2 linked regions of the Coturnix japonica genome follow. The main gene of each other region encodes a partner of the protein of the gene in region 2 in a complex. Links are inferred from orthologs where the notes say so. Each region holds a gene or a part of one and is shown on either strand. Other genes may lie near its edges.

Region 1 (4,888 bases), on a different chromosome or scaffold from region 2:
GTTTGCACCCTGGGTAAGCAAACTGGCATTAACTGAGTGTCCCACAGAGCATCTGAATTTAACCCATCTCTGAATTAGGGAATTCCCCAGCCCTGTGCACAGCACCTGCACTCCATCCCAGGACGTGATAAGCACAACTTTGTGCAAATTAGTTCAACTTACAGAGCAGCCTGCTTAGGAAGATCTGGTGAAGCTGCTGGGAGGCTTTGAAATGCGTTCCTGATACTTTGTAGACTGTTCAGCACTGGGGAAAAGGCTGCATCTGATAGCACAGACCTGCTTGAGAAACAGTCTGTGTTACCTTGACACTGGAACTTGGTGTTTGTTTTGTTGGTTTGGGTTGTGTGGGGTTTTTTTTTCAGTACAGAGGTCAAAGTTTTCAAGCATGCTCGGCTGAGCTGCCTGGAAGCAAATAAATTGATAGAAGACTGAGATGTTTGGATAAAGTTTGAAATACTTCCCCACTGCCAAGCCACAGAGAGGTTCAGATGGGATCTGTGACCCTTGAGCTGGAGCCCTGGACAATGTATGGTTCAGGCATGGGGATGCCCTAGCAGTAGGAGCACATTAGCTCTGAGACAGATTGTTTAGCATTTGGAGTGTATGAAAAGTTTTGTTTCTTGTTTGCTACTTCCCATAGGTTAAGGCAGAAAGCAAAAGCCATGATACCACCTTCCAAATATCCCAAGCTCCCCATAGGTGGCTCCAGTGCCAGTTTGGTGGTAGTGATTGCAGTGGGGCTGCCAGCTTCCCAGCACACAGACACTGATTTGAGTGTCTTTCCTTCCTAAGCCCAGCTCTGGCTGTGCTGCTGCTGAAGCCTTATCAGTTTGCATGTGGTTCTTTCCCTTCCCTGCAGCAAACCCTGCTTGTTTTGGGCAGAAATCAAGGCATTGTGGGATCCTGTGTCATAGCAGGGGAAAAAAATTGGGATCCTGTCATTATCTTTTGGATCAACAGGCAGGATCCAGGCAGGATTACACCTACAGCCAACGATTCAGTCTATCAGCTGGTGCATGAATACCCCTGTGAGCCTCCAGCTTCACTGGTAAGGCCAAATGAGTAAATGGGGCTTAGAAACAAAGGGTTTATGCATCCATGGCAAGCCCACGATTAGGGGATGCACTCAGTAATTGGGGAACTGGTTTGGCTTCTGTTCTGCCTCAGTTCTCACTGGGTGCTCAGCAGGTGCAGAGGGCAAAGCAGGGTTCGACAGGCACCAGGGGTGCTGTCTGAGCACTTGAACTCATTTCTACTTTTTTTCTTTGTTTTTCTTTTAGACACATAAGGTCCTGCCTTCGATCAGGCTTTTGTGTTCTGAGTTCTGTTCTGACTTTTTGGTACCCCAGCCCTAAAAAAAAAAGCAACCATGCCTGCTGGTTGCACAGCAGGGTGTGAGCAGGCTGTGTTTCTAGGGATGCACAGATGAACCAAAGTGAGGTTAGCCTAGAAGGTGAGGAAACTTTCTGCTGGTTCTGTGGTGCTGCTTTTTGGCTTTTAAAATTCAACTTCCAAGCTGCAATGTGAGGGATACTAAAAATGTCAGCGCGTGTGACACAGATCTCTTTGATGGTGAGCCCTGAAATACCCCCAGATGGATGGGGAAAGGAGCAAAGCAAGCACGGTGAGTGCTTCTGCACAATTTGGAGGTGATCTTTTGGGTGGTGGGTTGTGTAAGGCTGAAAGGAAGCATTGGGAAGATGGGGGTGAGTTTTAATGTAAGAGCAAGTGGGAAAAGGGAAGGTGCGGGGGTGGGAAGGCTACAAGAGGGGGGAAAAAAAGAACAGGGGAAGGGAGAGGGAAGGGAAAAAGCAATCGAAAGGAAAAAGAGCGTTAGAGGGTGGGACCCGGAGGGCCCCCGCCGCTCGGGAGAGGCGGGCAGGGGGCGGCCCTTCCTAGCGCTCCCTCCCTCTCTCCCTCCCCGCCGCCGCCCAGCTTGGCCTCAGATCGGGAGCTGCTGCCGCCGAAGCCGCCATGGGGGTAGAGGGCTGCACCAAGTGTATCAAATACCTGCTCTTCGTCTTCAACTTCATCTTCTGGGTAAGCCCCAGCGCGATGAGGGCGGTTGGGCTGTGCGTCCTGCTAGAGCCGGGGTATTTTCTATTCCTTTTCCCCCACCGGCCAGCCCCCATGTTGAGCTTTGCACCCTGCTATCAGGGCTTTTTGGTCGGCGGGGTGCGGGGATCATTTATCCTTTGGTTTTTTTTTATGCGCGCTAACGCAGCTTTATTTATTTATGTATTTATTCATACGGCACATCTATATGCACTCACGTAGATGGATGTATTTTTTAATGTATGTGCATCCTCTGCGCGAGGGCGGGGGTTCGGCTCTCTGTTCTCTCCCCGCACGTCCTGTTGCCGTGCGGTTTTTCGATTGCTGAGGGCTGGATGGGGTGAGCCCCCCCGTGCGGAGGGGATGCGTAAAGCAGGGGAGGTTGGGGCTGGCGCTGCCCCTCGCAGCCCTGGCAGCGCTTGGAGCGGGCTGGGTTAGGGCTGGGCGCTGCCTTTGGGAACTTAGTGGAGCCGGCGGATATTCCCAAGGTGCTGAGGTTTGCTTTTCTGAGAAAGTTTCTCATGTAATAATTCATCTGCCTGGGCATGGTGGTGGCAGCGGGTCCTCCTGCGGGGGAGGAAGGTCACCGTTAGCGTTCCTGTCCGTTTTTCCCAATTCTGGGTCAGACGCCGACGCGTCAGGGAGCGGTGGAGGCGCTCCCGAATCCAGCCTGGTTTGAGACTCTGCTTTGCCTTTCTTCTCACATAGCGGTGACCGAGGAAGGCTGACAAACGGTGACGACAGCGGCATTAATTGATATCCGATGCTGTGCCAGCTGCAGGATGAGCTGGGACCGTCCTCCTCCCTCTCTAGGCAGCAGGACAGGGCTGTGTCTCCCTGGGCTGCTCCCCCACGAGCTTCGGTGCCTATCCGGGGGCTTTGCTTCCCTCCTGCTCCAGGCTTCCTGCCATTCTTGTTGCAGAAGTGTGGATGCAGAAAGGAAGGGTCCCATGGGGACAGGAAGGATGCAGAAGGGCCCTGTGCTGCTGCTGCTCCTGGGGAGGCTCCCTCACTCGTGCTATATACCTAACTCTTAGTAAACCATCCTTTTACTTAAAAGGGGAACTTCCAGATCCATTTTCCTTCCCTTTATGGCTTTTGGTTCCTGCTCTCCAGGGCTTGCCAGCCAGCAGTTTATTCCGGGGGCTTTTCATGAGGCTGGGTGGCCAAACAACAGGTCTGATGGCTTCCATAAGCTGGAGTCGAGGGTAATTGTAAGGTTTAGCGCCTTATCAGTGCGGTGAGCAACACGTCTCATGCCTCCAGCTATGGGTGGGGGATGCTTTGGTCGTTACCCCATCGTGAAGACCTGAGAAAGTTTTATGTTCAGAGGGAGGAAGCAGCGCTGAAGCGCTTGTCGCAGGGTGCCCGTGCTGCTGGCAGCGCAGCTGCCTGTGTGTCCCAGCCCCTGGGAGATATGGGATGAGGGGCTTGGGGCAGTGTCGATGCCAGCCATTTGGTATGCGAAGGCTGTGGAACTGCTCTGTTGCTTGTTGTGTGCTTGGCGCTGAGTCGAAAACAAGCGCGAGGCAGAACTGGGAGCTTGGCAGACACCAGGGCTTGGCCGCATGCTGAAAAACAGCTCACTCCGGGGGAGGAAAGGAAGTAATTCTAAGCCTTGCTGTGTTAACAAGTAAGAAAGAAGCTGATAACTTTTTGAAGTGGCCTCGTTGTCCTGCTGGGGTGTAAATAAACGGACACCCCCGTAGCAGCACAGGGACATAACAAAGCCGCCGTGTTGGGAAGCAAAAGTAAAATGTTGCTTCAGCACCAGTTGCCCTGGGCGCCTTGGCAGCAGCCCCGTCTGCCTGAGATTTCTCTCTTTTGGGGGCCGTTTTTCCCTCGTGCTTTAGGAAGAACCGGGCTGTTTTGCTGGCTGGGGCATGCAGCTGGGCCACGATGGCTGTCAGGGAGCACACATAAGATTGCACGCACGTTGCCGATGTGTGCTGAAGGGTGCTGGGAATGAGAGTCCTGAGGCTGCTCAAAGCTTTCTGAAACTCTGGAAGACCTGTGGCATGTCCAGTAGAGTTGTGCTGGGTTGTAGTGTGATGAAAGTGGGCAGACATCACTAGGGTGGTGGAAGAGGACAAAGGCAGCTCCAGGAGAGCTTCACCCCACTAACAGAACACAGGGATAATAAGGAAAAGCTTTTATGTGCCACGAGCTTGGCCTGAAACCTCAGTAGAAATACTTGAATCCCATTTCTGTTATTTCTTGCATGGCTGAATTAGGCAGTATACTTGTGATATTTGAGAGCCACAGGGAGCAGTGACTTTTGGGAGATGGCCAGCTGTCCACGAAAGGTGCTGGGTTATTGGATGGTTGCTGAGCGAGCTGCCAAGCTCATGCCCTGAGGCACTGCTGGTGGAAGGGTCTCAGCATGGTTCAGGTTGTGGCTGGTACATTGAGCTGGGGCCACTTTTATATAACCTGAGAGGCCAAATGAGGCCCAGTAGGTCTTTCAACATGTGATTAAACATAACTAGAAAGGAATCAGCCTGCTCTCACCCAGCCCATCAGCTAACATGCACCTCCAGGCCCAACACACTGCCGCCTGCTCTGGTGAGGGGTCTGGTTCAAAGAGCTCACTTTTGGCATGGTAGTGGCAAGTTGATGGTTGGACTAGATGATCTTAGTGGTCTTTTCCAACCTTAATGATTCTATGATTCAGTCCTCCCTTCCATGCTACACACAGCTATTTTCTCCTATGCTTGCTGAGTTGTCTGTGGCATGGGTGGGGATGAAATGGAGGAGCACAGGGGGGACATGAAAGTGTAAGACCATGCATTACAAGAACAGGTTCAAGTTGCTGGGTATTCTCTTAACAATT
Region 2 (4,827 bases):
CCTCCTCAAGGAGAGCCAGCTCTATTTATCTTTCCCACAGCCCTATCAGGTGTATTTTCTCAGCTACTCAAGCATTTGGCTCCCAGGTTGGGTGGGGATCACGGGGGGTGGGCAGCAGCTGGGATGAGGATGCAGGTTTGCAGCCCAGGGTGCATGCAGGGGTTCTGCAGGGCTTGGCGCTCCAACCTGCCCAGAGCTCAGCCTCATGCAGTGCCTCTGGGCATGGGTTGGAATCCACGGGCTCTCCATCCACAGGGGTTCCCAAGGCTCGAACTGCTCAGCTCAAGCAGTAAATCCTTATCAGGTTCAGGGAGTGCTGCTGGCCGGAGCCCAAGGGCAAATTTCCCCCGCAGGGACAACGTGAGGATTTCCTCCCCCAGTGCTCCACATCGGTCTTTGAAGGCAGCAGCGAGCCCTGCTGACTTCCACATCATCCGATAACATCAACAAGTGCAGACATCAGCCCTAAAATAACTCTACCGACCTCCTGATAACGCCCTGATGTGGACAGAAGCCTTTTTGTTCCCTGGACGGCAGCAAAGGCACGGCCCGAGGTGTCCTTTCCCTATAGGAGCTGTGATCCCGGGGCCGGGGGTCAGCACGGGGGGCTGCATCCTGCACCAGGAGACGGGAGCAGGGCGAGAGGAGTGGGGATGGGAGGGATGCGGGTACAAGGGGATGGCTGCCCGGAAAGGAGCCGCGCTGGCTGCGGTGTGGCCGCGTGATGCAGCGTGTGCCGGCCCGGGGGCAGCTGAACAAAGAGGCCACAGCTGATGGGTGATGTGAACGGAGCACGAGGTGCTGGGCTGGGACCCCCTAAGGCACAGCGAGCACCGATCTCATCCCATTCCCATCCCGTTCCCACCCCTGTTCCCGGTGTGGCCGCGGCACCTTGGGTTCGTTGATTGCCTTTTGTCCCCGTGCCGCCGCGTCCACCCTTCCCCCAGCAGCATGAAAGAGAAGAAAAGTCCCATTCAGCCCTCTGGGAATATCCGTGAGAGGCTGAGTATTTACGCTTCCTGGCCACCTCCCCGCCATCTCCTTGGAAGCCGGCTCTCCCTTTTCAGCGCACACAAAGGGCTGCTGGGCTGGAACCTGGCCACGCCGCCTTAGCTCCGCATGCACCGCGCTGCCGTCGGGGCTCCGTCCCGGACCCCACATCTCAGGGGGTGCCGGGCACGGGGAGCACCGCGCTCAGCACCCACTGCCCGCACCCTCATTTCCTGCCCGGAGCAGGACACGCTTCTTAGGACGCCGCGTCCCGGCCGCTCTCACATCGGCTGTTATTCTTTAATCCCTTTCCCAGCCGGGCGTGCAGCCTGGCAGCCGTACAACTCCTTTCCTCCCCCTGGCCGCCCTCCAGCCCCAGCTCCCGGGGGTACTTCCCCCGCCCCACCGCGCTCCCTCTGCCGATCCCCGGCCCGAGGGGGCGATACCGCCCGCCGTCCCCCCGCCCCCCAGCCCGGCTCCATCGCACGAGCAGGTGCCGCAGCACAGGGGTCTCGGCCGGATCCCACCCCGCTGAGTCACCGCCTGCCCTGGGGGTGGGGTGGGAGCGGAGGCGGGGCGGGGGTTGTGCCGAGCCGAGCGCCGAGCTCCGTCCAGCCGAGCAGCGCCGAGCGGCGTCGGGACGGCGCGCCCCGCCCGGCCCCGGCACAGGTAAATGGACACAGGTAGCGGCGGTGGGGGATGCGGAGGTGACGACGGGGCTGCGTGGGGAGCGGGGGGATGCTGCGGGCTGTGGGCCGGGATTCGGCCCCCGGCAGCGGGCGCGGTGCGGGCGTTCCGTGCCGACTGCTTTGTGGCTCAGCGCAAGGTGTAACGCCTCTGTCCGTGTAGAGAATGGGGCTCCTCGGGGTCTTTCTGCGCGCAGCCTCTGTCCTTACGGGCTCTTCTCTTTCCTCTCTAAATCGGGCTCCGTACCCCGCAGCCGGGCTGGATTCCAGGGCCGTGGAGCCGCCTCGCGGGGCAGCTGCTCGCGGCTGCTTCCTCGGCACAGCTGAGCCCTGCCAAGGCCGCACCACTCTGCCGTGCCGTGCCGTGCCATTCTATGCCGTGCCGTGCCGTGCCATTCTATGCCGTTCCGCGCCATGCCGTGCCATTCTATGCCACGCTCTGCTGTTCCGTTCTACACCATCCCGCTCCATTCTGTGCCGTTCCACACCATTCCATTCCATGCCATGGCAACCAACGTGTGTGGCTCGCCAACCCGGGGGCCCACGAGCACACCCCGCTCGGTGCCGTCTCGGAGCAGCCGGCGTGTCTCAGCACAGCGCTCTCGCAGCCCGATGCCCGCCGGGGGATTCCTCCTGCAGCCCTGCGCCTGCTGCTGCCGGTCCCGGCACGCTGCTCCCACTGCTCCATAAAGGGATGGGGCGCAGAGCAGCGGTGGGAAAGCAGGATGAAATCTCCTGGAATAACCCCCTGGCAGCACGGCTGCGGGCAGGGCTGCCGGCCAACGTGGATTTCACGGTCTGCTTGGCACAGAAGCCTGCTGCCACCAGCAGGGAGCCAGGGGGGCTTTGGGTTGCTCGGATTTGGGGCACACACCAGGCTCTGGGCAGCCCCATCAGCACGGTGCCGCCCCGCGGTGGGTCTGCCGCTCCCACGGGAATGAAGCCCCGACCCTGTAAACACCGCATAGTTGGTCGCCATCCAGCTCTTAATCCCGCAGCCCACTGCGGGTGCTATTCGTAGAGCAACAGGTTCACAAAACAACTGCACGCTGCCGGGACACGGCACCCCGGGGCTGAGCACTGCGCACCTTCATGGGGTCACCCATGGGTGTTGCAGGGACGTGCTGGTGCTGCTGTGTGCCAGCTGGCCGGTCCTGAGCCGCCAACTCCTTTCCCATCAGCTCGCTGACAGCTGGGCCTTGGCAGGGGCTCTGCTCTGCAGCCCAGGTACCTGGCTCTGCAGCAGGGTGCCGAGGGTTTTGGTGAGGCAGAGAGCAGAGCAGCTTCTTGCAGCCCTCATCACACATTGGTGTGTGCCTTGCATTGCATTCACCCCATTGTTTGTGGTTGAGAAGCTGAAAGTCCCACCCTTCACACCAGCACTAAATCGGTCGGTTTGGTTTCCGATGATGCTCGCTGCATTTTGGGGCTGTGGTGACCCGTGGCTCCATGCATTCCCATGCGATCTGCAGCCATCCTGGTGGCCGAGGGCACGTGCCTGACGCCCGCTGGTGACGGGAAGGGGCTGACGTGCCGATGCCGTGAGCAATGTGTGGGCTGCCCATGGGCTGCAGGCCAAGGACAAGGGCACACTGTGAAGGCAGGTCTGCTCTCCATGCATGGCTCCATTCCGCTCTGTGTCTCCATGCCTCAGTTTCCCCATCCACCCCCCAGACTGTGCCTCCTGCCCCATGGCTGACAGGCTGTGGGCAAAGAGCTGTACCTCCATTAGCATCTAAGGAGCCTGGATACAAAGCCACAACAATCCCCTCATCCACGTGTCTCCAGTGCTCATTGGAGACGTGAGCACATCTTCCCTCTGTGGGGAAAACATCATGCACAGAGCCTGCCTGCCATCACCGCCTCCATCGAATGCCTGGTGCCCAGTCACCCAGAGAGCAGGAAGGTTTCTCACCGGGCTCTTGTTTTTTCCAGCTTTAGAGGTCACAGTGTTATTCCTCGGCTTCCCTTTCCGATGAGCGCATTCATTTAATGGTACTGAAGGAACACGGTGTAACGTCCCCGCACCGGGGCTGAGCCATGGGGAAAAAATGCACCCTGTGCCAACAGGGGACTGCTCCAAACCCCCACCTCCAACGTGGGGCAGAACAGCAGCTTTCTATGTGTTCCTAGGGAGCTTTTGGGGTTGGGGTTGGGGAAACCGTCCTGTCCCATTGCTGTGGCTGTCAAAAAGGGATTACTGGGAATGGGGGCATGGCCACCCTCTGGTACCTGGACACCCTGATGCTCTGCTTCCCTGCTGCCCCCAGGTACATGGGGGTGGCAATGCTCTGTGTCCCCATTGCCCCCATGGATGCAGAGGAGAAGGGGCAGTGCCTTCTGTGGGTTGTGTCAGCTTTCCCCCCCGCTGTGTCGGGGGATTTTCTCTCGCCATTGTTCAGCTCAGGAAGCAGCAATCAGGAGGGTGAGCAGGGGAAACTTGGCTGCTCAGCTCCGCTGGGTCCCGGCTGGGCTTTTGGGTTCTGGTTGGGCTCAGAAATGACTCAAAGGGACGATCCCTCCCAATTGGTGCCTGTGCCATACCCACACCGGGACCTCAGTGTGTCCATTGTGCCCATGGCAGCACACTGAGCTACAGGACTTAAAGCCACAGAAGAGCCTTTCTTGATATCATTCTCACGCACCCAGGAAGCCATCAGCGTTCCAATCATGTTCAGCATCATGGCCGTGGTCAGAACCTCAGCTGTGCAGTGTAAATTTGTGGGCAGTGCTGCCTGTGAGAAGGCCTCTGTGCTCATGTTGCTGCAGCTCCGCTTTGCACGGCAGCAGCCATCCACATACCTGGCCAGCTTTATGTCTCAGTGCAGCCCTCACTGGTGCAGCCTTGGCTGCTGCTGGGGGCTGGGGGGGCTCTTACAGATTAGTCCCAGCAGTGTGGAAATGCATGCAGATGAAGCACGGTGGGGATGGGGGGGGTGGTGGCAGCAGGGGGTTGGAGTCTCGCTGCGGTGTGTGACACCATCAGCTCCTTGCTGTGAGCACCAGCAAATATAATTCTAGGCTGGGGGAGTTAGGAAACTGCTGTTTCCTTCTGTTCTTATCACCTGCTGAAAGAAGCCAAGGCAGGAACCAAGATATGAGGCAGTGGGCAGGAGGGAGCTCCCCGGCTCCCACATCCCTCTCTGCCCTA

What was found. Proteins that work in one complex are often made in the same cells at the same time.
Region 1: ADGRG1 (region 2) and CD81 share a complex: the UniProt entries of both Homo sapiens proteins name them as parts of the GPCR-tetraspanin complex. The link is inferred for Coturnix japonica from reciprocal best matches to the Homo sapiens genes ADGRG1 and CD81.

What each region holds. Positions count from the first base shown.
Region 1 is NC_029520.1:10,912,076-10,916,963, forward strand, and holds the start of CD81 (CD81 antigen), read left to right. Parts: upstream 1-1,903; 5' UTR 1,904-1,974; coding exon 1,975-2,040; intron 2,041-4,888. UniProt on the Homo sapiens protein: Structural component of specialized membrane microdomains known as tetraspanin-enriched microdomains (TERMs), which act as platforms for receptor clustering and signaling.
Region 2 is NC_029526.1:1,923,565-1,928,391, forward strand, and holds the start of ADGRG1 (adhesion G-protein coupled receptor G1), read left to right. Parts: upstream 1-1,533; 5' UTR 1,534-1,659; intron 1,660-4,827. UniProt on the Homo sapiens protein: Adhesion G-protein coupled receptor (aGPCR) for steroid hormone 17alpha-hydroxypregnenolone (17-OH), which is involved in cell adhesion and cell-cell interactions.